Linked DNA regions of Lonchura striata. The protein of the gene in region 1 purifies or fractionates together with the protein of each later gene. This does not show direct contact. Links are inferred from orthologs where the notes say so. Each region holds a gene or a part of one and is shown in the gene's direction. Other genes may lie near its edges.

Evidence for each region. Proteins that work in one complex are often made in the same cells at the same time.
Region 2: the proteins of PPP1CA (region 1) and PEAK1 purify together in Homo sapiens (affinity purification with mass spectrometry; 3 studies listed by BioGRID and IntAct, counting the BioPlex papers as one, with this or other methods). This does not show direct contact. The link is inferred for Lonchura striata from reciprocal best matches to the Homo sapiens genes PPP1CA and PEAK1.

What each region holds. Positions count from the first base shown.
Region 1 is NC_134608.1:53,829,726-53,836,937, forward strand, and holds PPP1CA (serine/threonine-protein phosphatase PP1-alpha catalytic subunit), read left to right. Parts: upstream 1-4,236; coding exon 4,237-4,291; intron 4,292-4,776; coding exon 4,777-4,908; intron 4,909-4,992; coding exon 4,993-5,223; intron 5,224-5,428; coding exon 5,429-5,533; intron 5,534-5,620; coding exon 5,621-5,844; intron 5,845-6,283; coding exon 6,284-6,418; intron 6,419-6,540; coding exon 6,541-6,651; 3' UTR 6,652-6,722; downstream 6,723-7,212. Other genes in the region: CARNS1 (carnosine synthase 1), read right to left, coding at 211-473, 626-903, 2,040-2,133, 2,294-2,387, 2,494-2,940, 4,133-4,238; cell cycle checkpoint control protein RAD9A, read right to left, coding at 6,954-7,052, 7,125-7,212. UniProt on the Homo sapiens protein: Protein phosphatase that associates with over 200 regulatory proteins to form highly specific holoenzymes which dephosphorylate hundreds of biological targets.
Region 2 is NC_134613.1:5,200,882-5,208,728, reverse strand, and holds the start of PEAK1 (inactive tyrosine-protein kinase PEAK1), read left to right. Parts: upstream 1-4,841; 5' UTR 4,842-4,965; intron 4,966-7,847. UniProt on the Homo sapiens protein: Probable catalytically inactive kinase. Scaffolding protein that regulates the cytoskeleton to control cell spreading and migration by modulating focal adhesion dynamics. Acts as a scaffold for mediating EGFR signaling.

The sequences.
Region 1 (7,212 bases):
CCACATCACTGTCCCTGCCACCCCCGTGTCCCAACCTGGCACTGCGCCCACATCGCTGTCCCTGCCAGCCCCGTGTCCCAGCCTGGCACCGAGCCCACATCACTGTCCCTGCCACCCCCGTGTCCCAGCCTGGCACCATTCCCCCATCCCCACCCCAGTCCCTGCCACCCCCGTGTCCCAGCCTGGCACCGTGCCCCCCGTGTCCCCAACCCGTGCGGGGCTCCGCGGAGCAGTCCAGCGTGGGGGGCAGCCCCTCCTGGCACAGGGCGCTCTGGAGCCGCTCGTAGGCGTGGGTGGCACAGTCGGGGTCCCCACTGTCCCCGGGCACTTCGCCATCGGGGGCTTCGTCCTCCAGCCAGCCTGGGCACAGCGCCTCGGGCCCTGCCCACTCCTGCTCCTCCGGGCTGGGCACCCGCTCCGTGCTCGGCTGGGACGTCGAGAGCTGCGGGAGCAGGGACAGGGCTGGCACGGGGCTGGCACGGGGGTAAGGGGGTGGTATGGGGCTGGCGTGGGGTTAAGGGGCTGGCACGGGTCTGGCACGGAGCTGGCACGGGGACAGACCCCGTGTGGGCACGGGGCGTACACGGGGGGGCTGACACAGGACACAGCGGGCGCCGCTGCCCACCCGTGGGGTGGGGGCGTCGGGGTGCTGGGGGGCTGCAGGCGCCGGGCACGGCGCCACCACCTCGGGGACAACGGGGCAGTGCCAGCCGCCGGGGCCGCCAGCTCCCGGACAAAGCGTCCCCTTGTCCCCGCGGGGTCACGCGGCGGGTGGGCACAGCACGCTGCGCTGCCCGCTGCCCCACGCCAGTGCCCGGCACCGCCGGGATCCCGGGATGGGGCATCCACCTCCGCCCGGACCCCCCCACCCGGGGGCCACTCACCATCCTGGTGACAGAGGGGCTGCAAGAGAAGGACAGGCAGAGTCAGCGCGGCTCCCTGGGGACTTGCCACCCCTCCCTGGCCGCCCCCGGCCGGTGCTGGGAGCCCCAAGCCCAGCTCCCGTGGAGAGACCTGTCCTGCAGCACCCACCAGAGCCTGGCACCCTTCCTGGGGCACACCTCGGTGCCAGCTCCGCTGTCTTCATGTTGTCCCCTCAGCGCTAGTCTCAGTGTCCCCGCACTGACCCCTCGGTGCCAGTCCCTGTGGCCCCAGCTCGTCCCCTCTTTGACAGGTCTGGTGGCCCCAGATTGACCCCTTGGTGCCAGTCACGGTGGCCTCAGGTTGTTCCCTCGGTGCCAGCCCCGGTGGCCCCGGCACCTCCGGCTTAGTGTAATCCCGTGCCAGCTCAGCACAGCCGGGGGCACCTCCCCATCCCGGGGGTGCCAAGGTGCCCTGGGGGTGCAGACCCAGGGACCGGTTGTCCCCACCCCCCTGGTGCCTTCGCTCCCAGCAGGTGCCCGGCAGAGCTGGGCACAGAGGGAAACTGAGGCACGGAGCTGAGCGGTGCCCGCTGGCAGCCAGGATATCCCCAAGCCTGGCACCCGGTGACAGCGTTAGGGGACACACGGCTCGGTGGCGTGGCACAAGGGCCCCCCAAAACCCAGTCACGGGGGTCCCTCAAGGTCCGCGCCCCCCCAGCCGCGGGACCGCGCTGTCCCCCTCCATCCCCAGCTGGGAGGTGCTGCTGCTGTCCCCAAGCTGGGACAGCTGTGTCGCCCGGTACCTTGGGGTGGGAGCCGTGGCCTGAGAGCTCGCAGGGGACGAGGGCTCGGGGACGCCTGGCACAGGGGACGCCGGCCGGTCTGGCCTTTAAACCCCCCCGCGCCACCCCGGGGTGCCAACCCCCGGCCCCGTGCCCCGGATTAGGCGACACAGAGCCTCATTGTCCCCTCTGCCACCTCGCGCCAGGCGCTGGCACCCCTGTCCGTGTCCCTGTCCCCGTCAGTAGCGAGCTGCCTCAGCGGGAGCCGGGGGGAGGATCAGCCTGGCCGGGCTCTCCTGTCCCCCTGTCCCGCGTCCCCTGGCTGGGCACGCCCCTCGTCCTCCCCCCCGCCCTGTCCCCCTGTCCCCAGCGTGGCGGAGCTGCCAGCACGCACGTCCCCCGGCTTAGTTCCAGCTGCCCGCGGCGTCACTGTCACTGTCACCGTCACGGCCACCGGCAGGCACGGGGCCACCAGCGCGGCTGCCGTGCTGCAGAGTCCTGCACGCGCTGTCACCCGCTGCCTGCCACCCGCGCCACCCCCTGCACCCTGCCACCCTCATTGTCACCTGAACTGTCACGTGCGCCCTGTCACACACAACCCACCACGCACCGTCACCTGCACCACCACCAGGGTCTTGTCACCCGCACCTGTCACACACCTCGTCACCCACACGGCGACACCGCACCATCGCCGGCACCTTGTCACCTGCATCTGTCACCCGCCACTTGTCACTCATATCACCTACCTGTCACCCGCACTGCCACCCAGACCCCATAACCCGCACCATGTCACCGCACCGTCACCTGCACCCTGTCACCCTCACCGTGTCGTGAACATCATCACCCACCTGTCACCTGCGCTGTCACCGGCACCGTGTCGCAGGTGTGCACACGCACCCCGACCCCCATCCCGCTGCTCCCGCCCCCCGGCACCGGCACCCCCAAGCCCACCCAGATCACCCCCGCTGCCTTCAGCACCCACCGGTGCCGGTGCCGGTGTCTGTCGGTGCCGGTCTGTCCTGGTGTTGTCGCACCCGGCAGTGGAGCGGCTCTGCTCGCTCCGGTCCCGGCGGTGTCGGGGTCTGGTGGGGTTTCCCGGTGTCGGTCCCGGTGCTGTCGCAGCCCCAGCAGCGGCTCTGCCCGCTCCGGTCCCGGCGGTGGCGGCGGTGCCGTGTCCTGCTCGGGCGGGGCGGGGCGGGGCGGGACCGGGGGCACCGGGGGGACCGGGACACCGAAGGGGGTGGCAGAACAAAGGGGGCAGCGGAGGTGAGGGTGGCGGAACCGGGGTGCCACCGCTGGGAGACGGGGACAAGGGACTCGGGTAGGGAGTGGGACAAGGGACGGGGATAGGGACGGGGGTAGGGGACAAGCGTCCGGAGGCAGGGACGGGGCCAGCCCGGGGTCACCCGGGGCCGGGTGTAAAACTGACACCGCGAAGCAGAAATGTCAGGGCAGGTCCCGGGAGCTATTCGCGACCTCCCCGCACGACATGGAATGGGACGCGGGGAATGGCATGGCGTGGCACGGCGTGGCACCCTGGGAATGGCACCCAGGGAATGGCACGGCGTGGCAAGGCATGGCACAGCCAGTGTGGACAAGGGACAGCCATGACCCCATCCCTGCCACTGCCACCGTCCACGAGCGGTGGCACAAATGTGTCACCCTCCCCCGTGTCCCCGGTGGGGACACGCCCTTCGGGGTGTCCCCGGGGACCTCAGCGTGGCGACAATCTCCCGGCAACCGCCCGGTGCTGCTCCCGACGGTGTCCCCAGAGTCCCCGGGTGGGGATATCCCTGGGCTCTACCAAGCATCCTGTCCCCTCGTGTCCTCCCGGGTCCCCAGGCTGTCCCTGCGCGCCCAGGACCGGGATACAGATCCTCGGTTCCCTCTGTGTCCCCTCCTGTCCCTCGCAGTCCCGGGAACCTCTGTCTATCCTGAGGCTGTTCCCCTCCCACTCCCTCCCTATCCCTGTGCCCCCAGGCCAGGATACGAGTCCATGTCCCCCGTGTCCCCTTGCCCGAGCTCTATCCCTTGCCCGGCGTGTCCGCCTGCCCGGGTTGTAGAGAACAACGCAGGATGTCGCCTTTCCCAGGATGTCCCCTTTCCCAGGACGTCCTCCGCTCCAGGGAAGTCCTTCAGCCCGGCACGTTCTCCTTTCCAGCGAAGGCTCTCTGCCCGCGGTGTCCCCCTTGCCCGGGAATATCCCGTTGCCGCGGTGTCCCCTTTCCCAGGACATGTCCCTCTGCCAGGGGTGTCCCTCTGCCCGGGGTGTCACGTTTTCCCTGCTCGGAATGTCCCCCTGCGGAGCGTGTCCCCGTGCCCCTGCGCCCCCGCCGCGGCTCGCTGCTGCCGGTGTCCCGCGGCTCGCTGCTGCCGGTGTCCCGCGGCTCGCTGCTGCCGGTGTCCCCGCGGCTCGCTGTTGCCGGTGTCCCGCGGCTCGCTGCTGCCCGTGTCCCCGCCGCGCCGTCCCCGTTTCCCCCGGGGCACCGGGGCCGGCCGGGCTGCAGCGACTCCTCCGGGCCGGCAGGGGGCGGGCGCGCGGCGGGGCCGCTGCGGGCGGGCGCGCGAGGCGGGGCGGCGCGCGGGCGGCCATGGCGGACACCGAGAAGCTCAACCTCGACTCCATCATCAGCCGCCTCCTGGAGGGTGAGCGGGCCCCCGCCGCCCCCCCGAGCGCCGGGACGCCCTCCCTCCGCTCCCGGAACCTCTCGCGGCCGGCTCGGGCCGCGTCCCAACGCCGCGGGGGGAGTCCCCGGCCCGGGCCTGGCGGGGGCGGGTTAGGCCGCGGTGGTTCGGGGGGGGGTCAGGGCTGGGAAAGGTTTTGGGGGGTTCCCATGGGGCCTGGGCAGCCGGAGATGAGTCCGGGGGATGTGGGGGATATGAGGCGGGATACCGAATGGGTTTGTGCCCCGCGGGAGGGGGCTGGGGGAAATGGGGGGTTCCCAAAGGGTCTGTGCCCCGCGGAGGGGCACTGGGGGGCCCCGAAGGGTCTGGGGGCTGGAGCTGAGCCTGCAGGGCGTGGGGGATACGGGCAGGGAGGGCTGGGGCAGCTGGAGAAGGGGTTCCCGGGGTGCTGTAGGTGTCCCCGAGCCCTTGGAGATCCCTGATCCTGTTCTCTGTGCTGGGAGCAGTCCAAGGATCGCGGCCGGGGAAAAACGTGCAGCTGACAGAGAACGAGATCCGCGGGCTGTGCCTCAAATCCCGGGAGATCTTCCTGAGCCAGCCCATCCTGCTGGAGCTGGAGGCACCCCTCAAGATCTGCGGTGAGGCCTGCACGGCTGCTGGGCAGCACTGGGCTGGTGCGGGGGGCTGCAGGGTGCCACTCACAGCCTGTGTCCCCCCTCCAGGTGACATCCACGGGCAGTACTACGACCTCCTGAGGCTCTTTGAGTACGGGGGCTTCCCCCCTGAGAGCAATTACCTATTTTTGGGCGACTACGTGGACCGGGGCAAGCAGTCCCTGGAGACCATCTGCCTGCTGCTTGCCTATAAAATCAAGTACCCCGAGAACTTCTTCCTGCTGCGGGGCAACCACGAGTGTGCCAGCATCAACCGCATCTATGGCTTCTATGATGAGTGTGAGTGCCCGGGCTGTGCCCCCCAAAACCCCACTGCCATCCCTGGGCTCCCCCTTTCCCGGTGTCATCCCAGTGCTGTCCCACACTGACCCCACCTGTGACCTCCTTCCCTCCCCACCATGTCTTCCTGCCCTTCCTCGGTGTCCTCCTGCCCACCCCCAGGCTGTCCCCTGGGTCACCTCCAAGCCCCCTTTGTGCCCCGCAGGCAAGCGAAGATACAACATCAAGCTCTGGAAGACCTTCACCGACTGCTTCAATTGTTTGCCCATTGCTGCCATCGTGGATGAGAAGATCTTCTGCTGCCACGGAGGTGGGAATGGCCCTTCCCAGGGGCTTGGGAGGGCTGGAGGAGGGTTGGGGTCTCCTTGCTGAGCTCTGGGGTGCCCCTTTCCCGCAGGGCTGTCCCCAGACCTGCAGTCGATGGAGCAGATCCGGCGGATCATGCGGCCCACGGATGTCCCGGATCAGGGGCTGCTCTGTGACCTGCTCTGGTCCGACCCCGACAAGGACGTGCAGGGCTGGGGGGAGAACGACCGTGGGGTCTCCTTCACTTTCGGGGCCGAGGTGGTGGCCAAATTCCTGCACAAGCATGACCTGGATCTCATCTGCCGGGCGCACCAGGTACCACCGGGACCCCCAGACACTGGGGACATGGGGGTTTGGGTCTCCAGTGGGTGTCAGGTGGTTCTACCCCGAGTGTTTCCCCTTCAAGGGCAGTGTGCACCCCAGGAGTGTGTGGGTTGGAATTCTGGGGGTGTTTGTCCTGGGATTTGGGTATTTGCCTCAGCATTTGGGTGTTTGCTCTGATGTCAAACTATTTGCCCAGGGGGGATGAATAGTCACCCTGGGATGTGGCTGTTCCTCCCAGAGGCTGGATAATCGCTCTGGAGATGGATATTTGCCCTGGGGCAGTGGGTGTTTGTCCCAGTGCTGGCTGTTTGCTGCGGGGAAGGGAGCATTCACCTTGCTAGAGAGGGCTGGATTTCAGCCTGGGGGACTGGGAATACTGGGATAGTGGCCATGGGGGGTGGATTTTTGCCAACCCCGTGCCCCCCCCCAGGTGGTGGAGGATGGCTACGAGTTCTTCGCCAAGCGCCAGCTCGTCACCCTCTTCTCGGCCCCCAACTACTGCGGCGAGTTCGACAACGCCGGCGCCATGATGAGCGTGGATGAGACCCTCATGTGCTCTTTCCAGGTGAGCCCAGGGAGGGGAAACACCCCCAGTTCCTGCCGGGAGGGCTGCAGGGAGTTCTGCCCTCCAGGGCAGTGGAGAGCCGGGGTGGGAGCTCACTGATTTCTTTCCCCCTTCCCCCGCAGATTTTGAAGCCGGCCGACAAGAACAAAGGCAAATACGGGCAGTTCAGCGGGCTGAACCCCGCCGGACGGCCCGTCACCCCTCCCCGAAACTCTGCCAAAGCCAAGAAATGAGCTGGGAGCCGCCCCTGTGCTGCCCACGCCCCGCAGCCCCCCGCCCAAGCATCAGGTCGCTTTTCTTTCGACTCGTTTTTTTATTTGTAGGATCCTGCCCCCCTCCCGCCACGCTCCACCAAAGCAAATCCAGGCCCAGGGCAGGTAGAGCTGGGGCGAGGGGGGAGCCCAGAGCCCAGCCCTGGGGTGGCAGCAGAGGGGGGGGGCAGGAGGCTTTTTTGAGGAATAAACTTGTAATGGGTCACTGGGGGGTGCCTGTCCTGGTGGTTGGATGGAGGCTGGGGCTGGCAGTGACTCGGGGCTCAGCTTTCTCCATCGCTGTCCTCCGCCAGCACCTCCTGGGTGGTGGCCGGGCCAGGCCTCCCTGGTGTCATCACCGAGCCAAAAAACAGGGAGCGAAACTGTGGAGAAAAATGGAGGGTTCAGGAGGAGGCTCTGCCCACCCCCTGCCCCCAGGCACACCCATCCCTCACCCTTTTGTGCGGGGGGGTCCCTGGCACAGCTCCTTCCTCCTCCTCCTCCTCCTCCTCCTCCTCCTCCTCCTCAGGTTTGCTCTTGGCT
Region 2 (7,847 bases), on another chromosome or scaffold:
AAGAAGAAACACACCACCTTATATCCAAGGCTTCAAAACAGCAGCCAAGGGAATTTCAAGAGGAACAAATCATTTATTTCTTAAGTAACAAACACAAAAATTCACAAAAAACTCACTAATTCATGCCATACTACTTACATGAAATAAAAGGAACTATAGACCAGAGACAGCCAAATCAGACCTGCCTTAATCACTATTTGGTTAAGACTGAGAGCCCCTCCAAACAAAGCCTGGCAAGTTCTACAGATGACATTTTGAAGGGCAGTTAAAAACTGTTCCCTTTCTTTTGGCTGCAGACAATCCCTCAGACACCACCGTATAATTAAAGCTATGAATTTATCATCTTTTCGTATTTGAACACAATAATAAAACAAAAGTAGTCTTTTCCCCTGTTAATTCACTAAATTGTTGAGAAATCCTCTGTGTTTTGCACTTGTTAGGGGAAGAAAAAAAAATGTAAAAAAAATCCAGAAATAAATCCTGTCAGTCTTAAGCCTCTTGAAGTCAACTAATAACCAACACTTTGACTACCCTCATTCTCTTATGCACGTCACACATTTTTATTGACAGCAAGAAAGCTTTCTACTACTCAGTCTTGTGACTAAACCATCTTTTGTCATTTTCATGCTATCCCAGTATCCTGAACTGCAGGCTAAGGATGCCCATTGCTCATCTCATTAATTATCCCAGTCATGATGCATAAAAGGCACATTGCAGTGTCTTAGATTTACACTCCCTTTTACATGAAGAGACAGTATAGACAATGCAAGACATAAGAATTTCAAAAACAGTGAAATATAAGGTTTATTTTGCAATTCACTGTATGCCAGGAAAGATATATTGTCTAAAAAGACTGAAATCAGTCAGCCAAAGTCAGCTCTTGCCACAGTCTCCTGCAAAACAGTGCAAGATTTCTTGTTTCTAGGATTAAAATCATTAATGAAGGCAACACAGCACAGGCTCCTTTTAACATATTTACTATTAAAACACTCTTGCGAATAATGTTCCTAATGTTTCTGAAAGACAGGTTTCTTTCCAAATACATCAAAATTTGCAAAAGTAAGGTCAAGGAACAAGGAAGATTTCCTAATAAATTCAGAACTTGGAAGAAATTCAGGTATTCCACAGTTAAGTAGTTTTGTTTCCCTGTAACACAGAATGAAGATTTCTCACAAATAAACACATTCATAAGTAGGGGTAGCTGCAATTCATCAAAAGCTGTCCTTGTCAAACTGGTACCAAGTAGACCTTCGGAAATCAAATGTCAGTCTCAGCTTTGCCCCTAACAGCTATGAACAGTGCAAGTTATTCCTTTAACAAGAATTAGTCATCTGTGGGATTAATGTGCATACAAATAGCTTTACCATATACATCCCAGCAATCCCATTATGCAAGAGATTAAAACAGACTGGTCTGGAAATGAAATGCTTGCCACCAGCCCCTGGCAGGAACACTGTCATTGCAGGCACAAACCCAGATCTGGCTGGTTTGCCCTCTCAGAATTCAAGGTCCAGTATCAGACTACAAGTTTGCACCACAGAATACAGAATTCGGAATACAGAAGGGACCCACAAGGACCATCGAGGCCAGCTCCCAGTAAAAACTAACAGCTACCATCAGAGCCAACAGCTGTGCTGCTGATGCCACTGGACATGAAGGAGCCACTCCTGGAGTCAGACAACACAATATGGCCAACACTGCTCACCTTGCCACGGAGCCTGACCTACATCAATAAAGCTTTAGCTACCAGTTGACTGTGTATTTCAAATAGCCATCAACTAGCCTTACCTGCTTTCATAAACCAATCCTCTCAAAAAAACAGTGGCTTCTGAAAACAAACTACACTTAGTAATTCATACCTCATGTTGAATTGTGTTTATTGATCACTCTTCTTGTCTTAAAAATAGCAGAAGTTTAACAGCTCCCAAGAACATAAGAAACATTTCCCCTCTCTTTCTAAGGGAAATCATGGAAGTAAAAAAATTTAAAAAGCTAGAAAGAATTCAGAGAGCAACTTCATTTTGGGACTCCCAAGCCACTCGCATTTCAGATTGAAACAGCATTTTATTAAAGGTACATGAACAACTGGGGAAAAAAAAAAAAAAAGACAACCTTTCTGTATTCACCTACTGCACTCAAAATTGTACAGGCCTGTTTCTTTGAGTCACCCATCCCTCCCACAGATCATTATCAAGAGGGTCTCTATTACTTTATTCTCTAACAATTCCTCAAAGCACATGCCACAACACTCAAAAACACCAAGCACAGCTCTGTGTGCATGGCAGCAATACTTAAATTTTTCACCCACAGCCTGGAGAGGGCAGGAGGGTGAAACAGCAAGAATTCAGAAACTTGTATGAGCCTGTAAACTTGAGAAAAATCCCATTGAATAACTGGTCCTAAAACAGTTTATTTATTCCTATTTAGTCAAGAAGAAGCAATTAGCATGGAAAGGCTGAGCCGGTGTGGCAGGTGAGGAGACACACCCTGCTAATGGGCACTGGATACTGAGTGACCCTTTATTTAACTTCACTGGGAACAGACACTAACAAAGGTTACAAAGTCAAGCCCAGCACATCAGTGCACAATGTTCTCCATTCCTGTGCTCTGATACTTAAAGTAACATCGTGATGCTGTACAAGCAAAAGCACAGCTCACAGTCAGTGCTGGCATCCAGCAATCCAGAAGCACGAGGCGATCAGCTCCTCTCCTCAGTTCTGGGGGCAGTCCTGGCCAGCCATACACAGCAAGCCTGAGCTGGGCCAGGGAAGATCCCCTGCAAGAGCAGAAGGTGGAAAACAGTGAGAATCTCTCTCCTTGTGGTTGCTTTACTGCAGAGCACCAGAAATTGTTATAGTCACCTTCTAACAGTTAGGTACACCCAGGAGCTGGACCCAAGCATCAGGTACCTAAAAGAACACAATTCTCTGCTCTCTTTTTTGAGCCACAAATGTTATCACCACATACCCTCTGTGTGCCCCGCCACGGGCAACCAAAGGAACAAAAAATCCACTTATAACCAAGACAGTGTGGTCAGATCACACAACCTCTCATTTTTCTGTTTTGAAAACTACTGGGATCCTAAATAAAAGTTAACTTAGGATTTTAAAGACTAATCAAAATACTCTGTTTTGCACACCATTTCTAAGCCAAACTTCTCAAGTTCTATTTCAAGGCATGCCGGATTTCTAAGGACAGGGGGGAAAAAAATTATCAGATTACCCCAATTTCCTGAACTCGGAATTATATTCCACCAAGTGATATAGTTCTGTAAATACAAAATATCTCATCCCTTCTAACAGACATATGATACAGGTGTGAAAAAAGCCAAGAGAAGGTAAAAAAGCATTTCACTATCATTTTACCATCTTCAAATAGGTTGTACCCCTGCACACGTGGCCAGGATTAAAAAAGAAAACATATTTCTTTTCATCGGCAGTTTATGTTTACATTCTTTAGAATGATGACTTCAGAAGAATTTGCACAGTGGTCAAGGGGGTCATATGCAAAGCAAACCAAAAATCTGCATTTTCTGCAGCTTTATGAAATAATGTCTTAAAATACCATCTCTGTTTCACTTTTGTCTTATCCTTTCTCAATTTCTATGTCTGAGTACGTTTTATAATCTATCAGAAGAGCACTACGTGTAGATAACTGACGAACCAATAAATTTACATATTTGAGAGAGGCATGATAAAAAGCATTCTTTATTGACAGGAATGGGCAGCCAAAAACGCTGAAGGACGCTACTCTAGAGAGCAGGAGCTCTTTTATTTATATTCGCCCTGCCCTTCCTCCTTTCCACTCTCGCGCTGGTTTTCCAGAGGACGGGAATGAATGGCGCCTCGCAAGGCACGTGGCCCCGGTGTCTTCAGCCCCAGGGCCGGGGCTTCTTTTTACCACCTCGACACAAGAGACTCACTCCCCCAGGGACGGGGAACTGAATGTGGAAACCTGGACAGAAGTATAAGAAAACCACGCTATAACAAATCACCTGCTTGACAAGGGAACGTTAAGTGGACCTACAGAAAGGACAAATAAATAGAACCAAGGGAGCCATGAAATATCGCTTTGGGGGAACCGTGGAAAGATATATAATGGAGAATACGGAAAGCCAAGCACTTAGACCCTCATCCGGTTCTTCCCCCTCACCCCCCGTGAGCTCCGGCGGCTCCCCCAGCCCCCCTCACGGCGGGCCACAGCACCCGCAGCCGCCCGCCGACTCCTTGCCGGCCGAGGAGGGGCGGCGGGCCCGCGGCCGTCCCCACTGACCTGCCGGCGGCGGCTCTGGCGCAGGGCCGGGGTCCCGGGGGCGGCCGCGTCCCCTCAGCCGGGTCCCCTCAGCCCGCGCAGCCGCCGCGCGTCCTGCACGCGCCCGCCGCCTAACAACTCCGCCTGCTCGGATCCCTCCGCTCCCGCCTCAGAGCGGCCCTCTCGCCTCCCCCAGAGGAGCCCCTCGGGAGAAGGCCCGCAAAGCCGAGAGGGCTCCCGGCTCAGCGCCCGCCGCTCCGCTCCCTCAGCGGCCCAGCGCGGGGCTGGAGCTCAAACCACGCAGCGGGACTACTTCACCACCGCAGGCGGAAGCACACACTTTCTGCACACGCACGCGCGAGATGACGGTACGTATTTAAAGGCCCGCGCGCGGTGCGCATCGGGAATTGTAGTCTTATCACGGCGGTTCCCCTGGCCGCCCGAGGGCCTCGCGCCGCCCCGCGATGGCGCCACGCCCTCTCGCTGCCGGCGGCCAATGAGCGATCGGGGGGCGGGGCTCCCCGCCGCGGTGCGCGCGCGGGGGGCGGCACCCGGAGTTGGTTGTTGCGCGCGGGCGCGGCGGTCGCAGCCCCGTCCCGGGAGCCGCGTCCTCGGCGGGCCCGGCGGGAACGGCACCGAGCCCGCACGGAGCCGCCTGGGCGCAGCCGCCGCCTCCTCGCGGGAGGCGCCGCGGGGCCGGCGAGCCCCTGCCAGGTGAGGGGCGGGAGGGGGTGACGACCCCTCGCGCCGTGAGGGGAGGCCGGGGGGCGGCGGCGGTCCGCTTTCCTCCGCGGGGCCGCGGGCGGGGGCACCGAGCGGGGCTCCGGCGAGGCGCGGCCGCCGCCTGCCCGTCACTCCCTCCCCTCGGGTCCCCCGGCGCCCCTCGCCCCGCCGCGGTCCCGGTCGCGGCGGCGCCCGCAGAGCCCGTCTGGCGCCGGCAGCCGCGCCGGGGCCCCGCGGGGCCGCGCCGCCCTCGCCCCCGCTGGCGGCGCGGGGCCCCGGTGCTCGCCGGCAGCCCCGGCGCTGCCCGAGCCCGCAGCGCGGCCGGGAGCGTGCGGCGCGGGCCCGCGCCCTGCCGGGGAGCGCCTGCCCCGCGCTGACACCTTCGAGGAATTTCCCGGGATAAAGCTGCTGTGGGTGCCGGGTGGATGCTGTTCCTGCCGGGGCTCTGTCCGTGCTCTGTTATTATTACGAATTACTGACTTGAAAGGCTTTACGTGTTAGCGTGTACGTGTGTAGCTGCATTCCATCCTCTCGGTCCTTTCTCTCGAAGGTTATTTTGGATTTGTATGTGGGTCGGTCTGTTTGCCAGTTTTTACTGAGGGTGAAGTTGAGGCTGGGCTGGGAAAGCTGGGATTTGCGCTGGGACAGCAAATGAAACGATGTGAATACTTTGCAGTTCTGTTAGTTGTGGAGCAGCTGATATTTGATGCAGAATGGCCAGGCTGCTCCAAGGTGAGCACAGGGGCAAGGGGGAATATCGTCTGGTGGATCTCTGACTTCGAATTTAATAGGGGGATCCTTCTCAGAGATCATAGTTTGTGTTTGCTTTAGGTCTTTGCCATTTACTTTTATAGAGCTCATTCTTCTTTAATTGCTTTCTAAGTGCCTCCAAAGTTTTTCCCCTTCCTCACTGAGGCATAAAGGCTGTCTAATGTCTGCTAAAACACTTCATTCCCAGATATTTACAGAAAAAATAACATACAGAGATATATGGGCATGAAGGAAAGAACACACAGATGTTTTAGGAAACAAGACTTTATGGAATTCCAATAATTAGTTTCTATAGTTAGAAAGTTTAACTTGCTTAAAATTGCCAGCTGAACAGCTACCTTTGTGACAAACTGGATGTACTTCCTTCTGTGTGACTTATGACTTAAAACCTCCTCTAGACAGACTGAATCAAGAGGTGTAGCAAGAGCAGCAAATACTTGTGGAGATTGTACATGATTGTATGGAATTGTTAGAGCTCTTAATCTAGTTTCATACTGGCTTAAAAGCTTGTGTCTGTAAAGTAGGTGAGTTGTTTTATCCAGATGAAGCATCTTCCTGGCAGAGTTACTGCTCAGTGTGTTTTCAGGAAAACTTTGTTTTATTCTCTAAAATACAGAACTATGCAAGAAGGAATTACCAGTTTTCCATGAGTAACTTTCCATGATTAATCTTATGTATTCATTTCCTGATGGCTTTACCTTATTGCTAGATTATCCCATGTAGATGACTTCATTCACAGACTTCCTAAAATACCTTTTTAAACAGATCTCTTTGGCCTAACTACACCTTCCTCACCTGAACAGCAGTGGCAGGTGGGGTGTGATTCCTGAGCCTGGGCAGGAGCTGCCAGCTGCAGAACAAAGAGCCAGCAGACTTTGCTGCCTGGCCTGGCTGCAGGTAGGCACTTTAACTCAGCTGCAATTCATAATGGATGCAAGGTTTGATTTAGAGCATACAGTTAGTTTGAAGGAGCAGCATTTCCTACATATCTGCCAGTTTAATGGTTCTTTCAGTGAAAGAGAGCAAAGGGACAAAATATCATTTCAACTTCTTGAGTAATTTGTGTTTCTTTTCAGCTCTTTAGAAAATCCATTTCCAGGCATGTTTACTAATATATGTATTATTTCCTGTTTACTTTCCAAGTAAGGGAATTGGTTGGAATCAGCAACTTAAAGAAAAATAAAGGGGGGGGGGGGTGTTTCTATTTGTCTAAATGACTCCTAAATGTTGACTAATTTTTTTTCCTCTAAACAAGATAGTAAAATATTATGATAGCTATTATAATCTATTGATAAGGGTCATAGACATCGACAGTTACTGTTAACCTTCTGTATCATGCTAGGAAAAATATGTATGTGGAAAGCTTAGTCTAAGTTAACAACTTGTAACATGTTTTCTCTACCTTGTTTCTGAACGTAACCGCCTGTGTGTCTCCTTTCCTTTTCCCTTTTCCTGTTTAGTCTTTGCTCTTAGGCTCCCTTTTCCCTCCAGCTGCCCCTCATCCCGGTTTAGGATCACACTATCCCATCTCTGCTAATGGCCCATGTCGTCTTTGCCCTTTTTTCTGAAGAGATAAGGATCTGCAGCTTTCCTCCGTGTCACTGCTTCTCTTGTTCTGATTGCTCTCTGATGAGGTTGGCTTGGTTTCAGGCGGTGTTAATAGTTTTTTTTTTAAGTGAGGCTGTTGGAGCCTCTCTTGCCCAGCCCCGGAGCAGGGAGCCCAGAGGATTGCCAGGCAGGGCTCCGAGGTGAGGGCTGTCTCCTGCCACCCCGCTGCCCCCACTTGCTGTGCTGCTGCAGGAATCCTGCCCAGCTGCTCCCTCCCGTGCAGTCGGTGTGTCAGAGCTGACATTCGGGTACGGGCAGGGCATTGAAATGCAAATGCCTCGGCTCTGACGGGGACGTGGTGCTGCGCTGCTGGAAAGCACTGGGAAGGTTGTGGAGTACCTGTGGTGTGAAAGGAGATGGTAAACAAAACAATTGACAGGGAAACTAAAAATTTAACTTTCTTATATCTCTGCTATTAACATTTCCAGATGTTTTTAACCTACTTTGAGGACAAAAGTAATAATCTGTAGAACATGTTTTGGTTTAATAGTTGA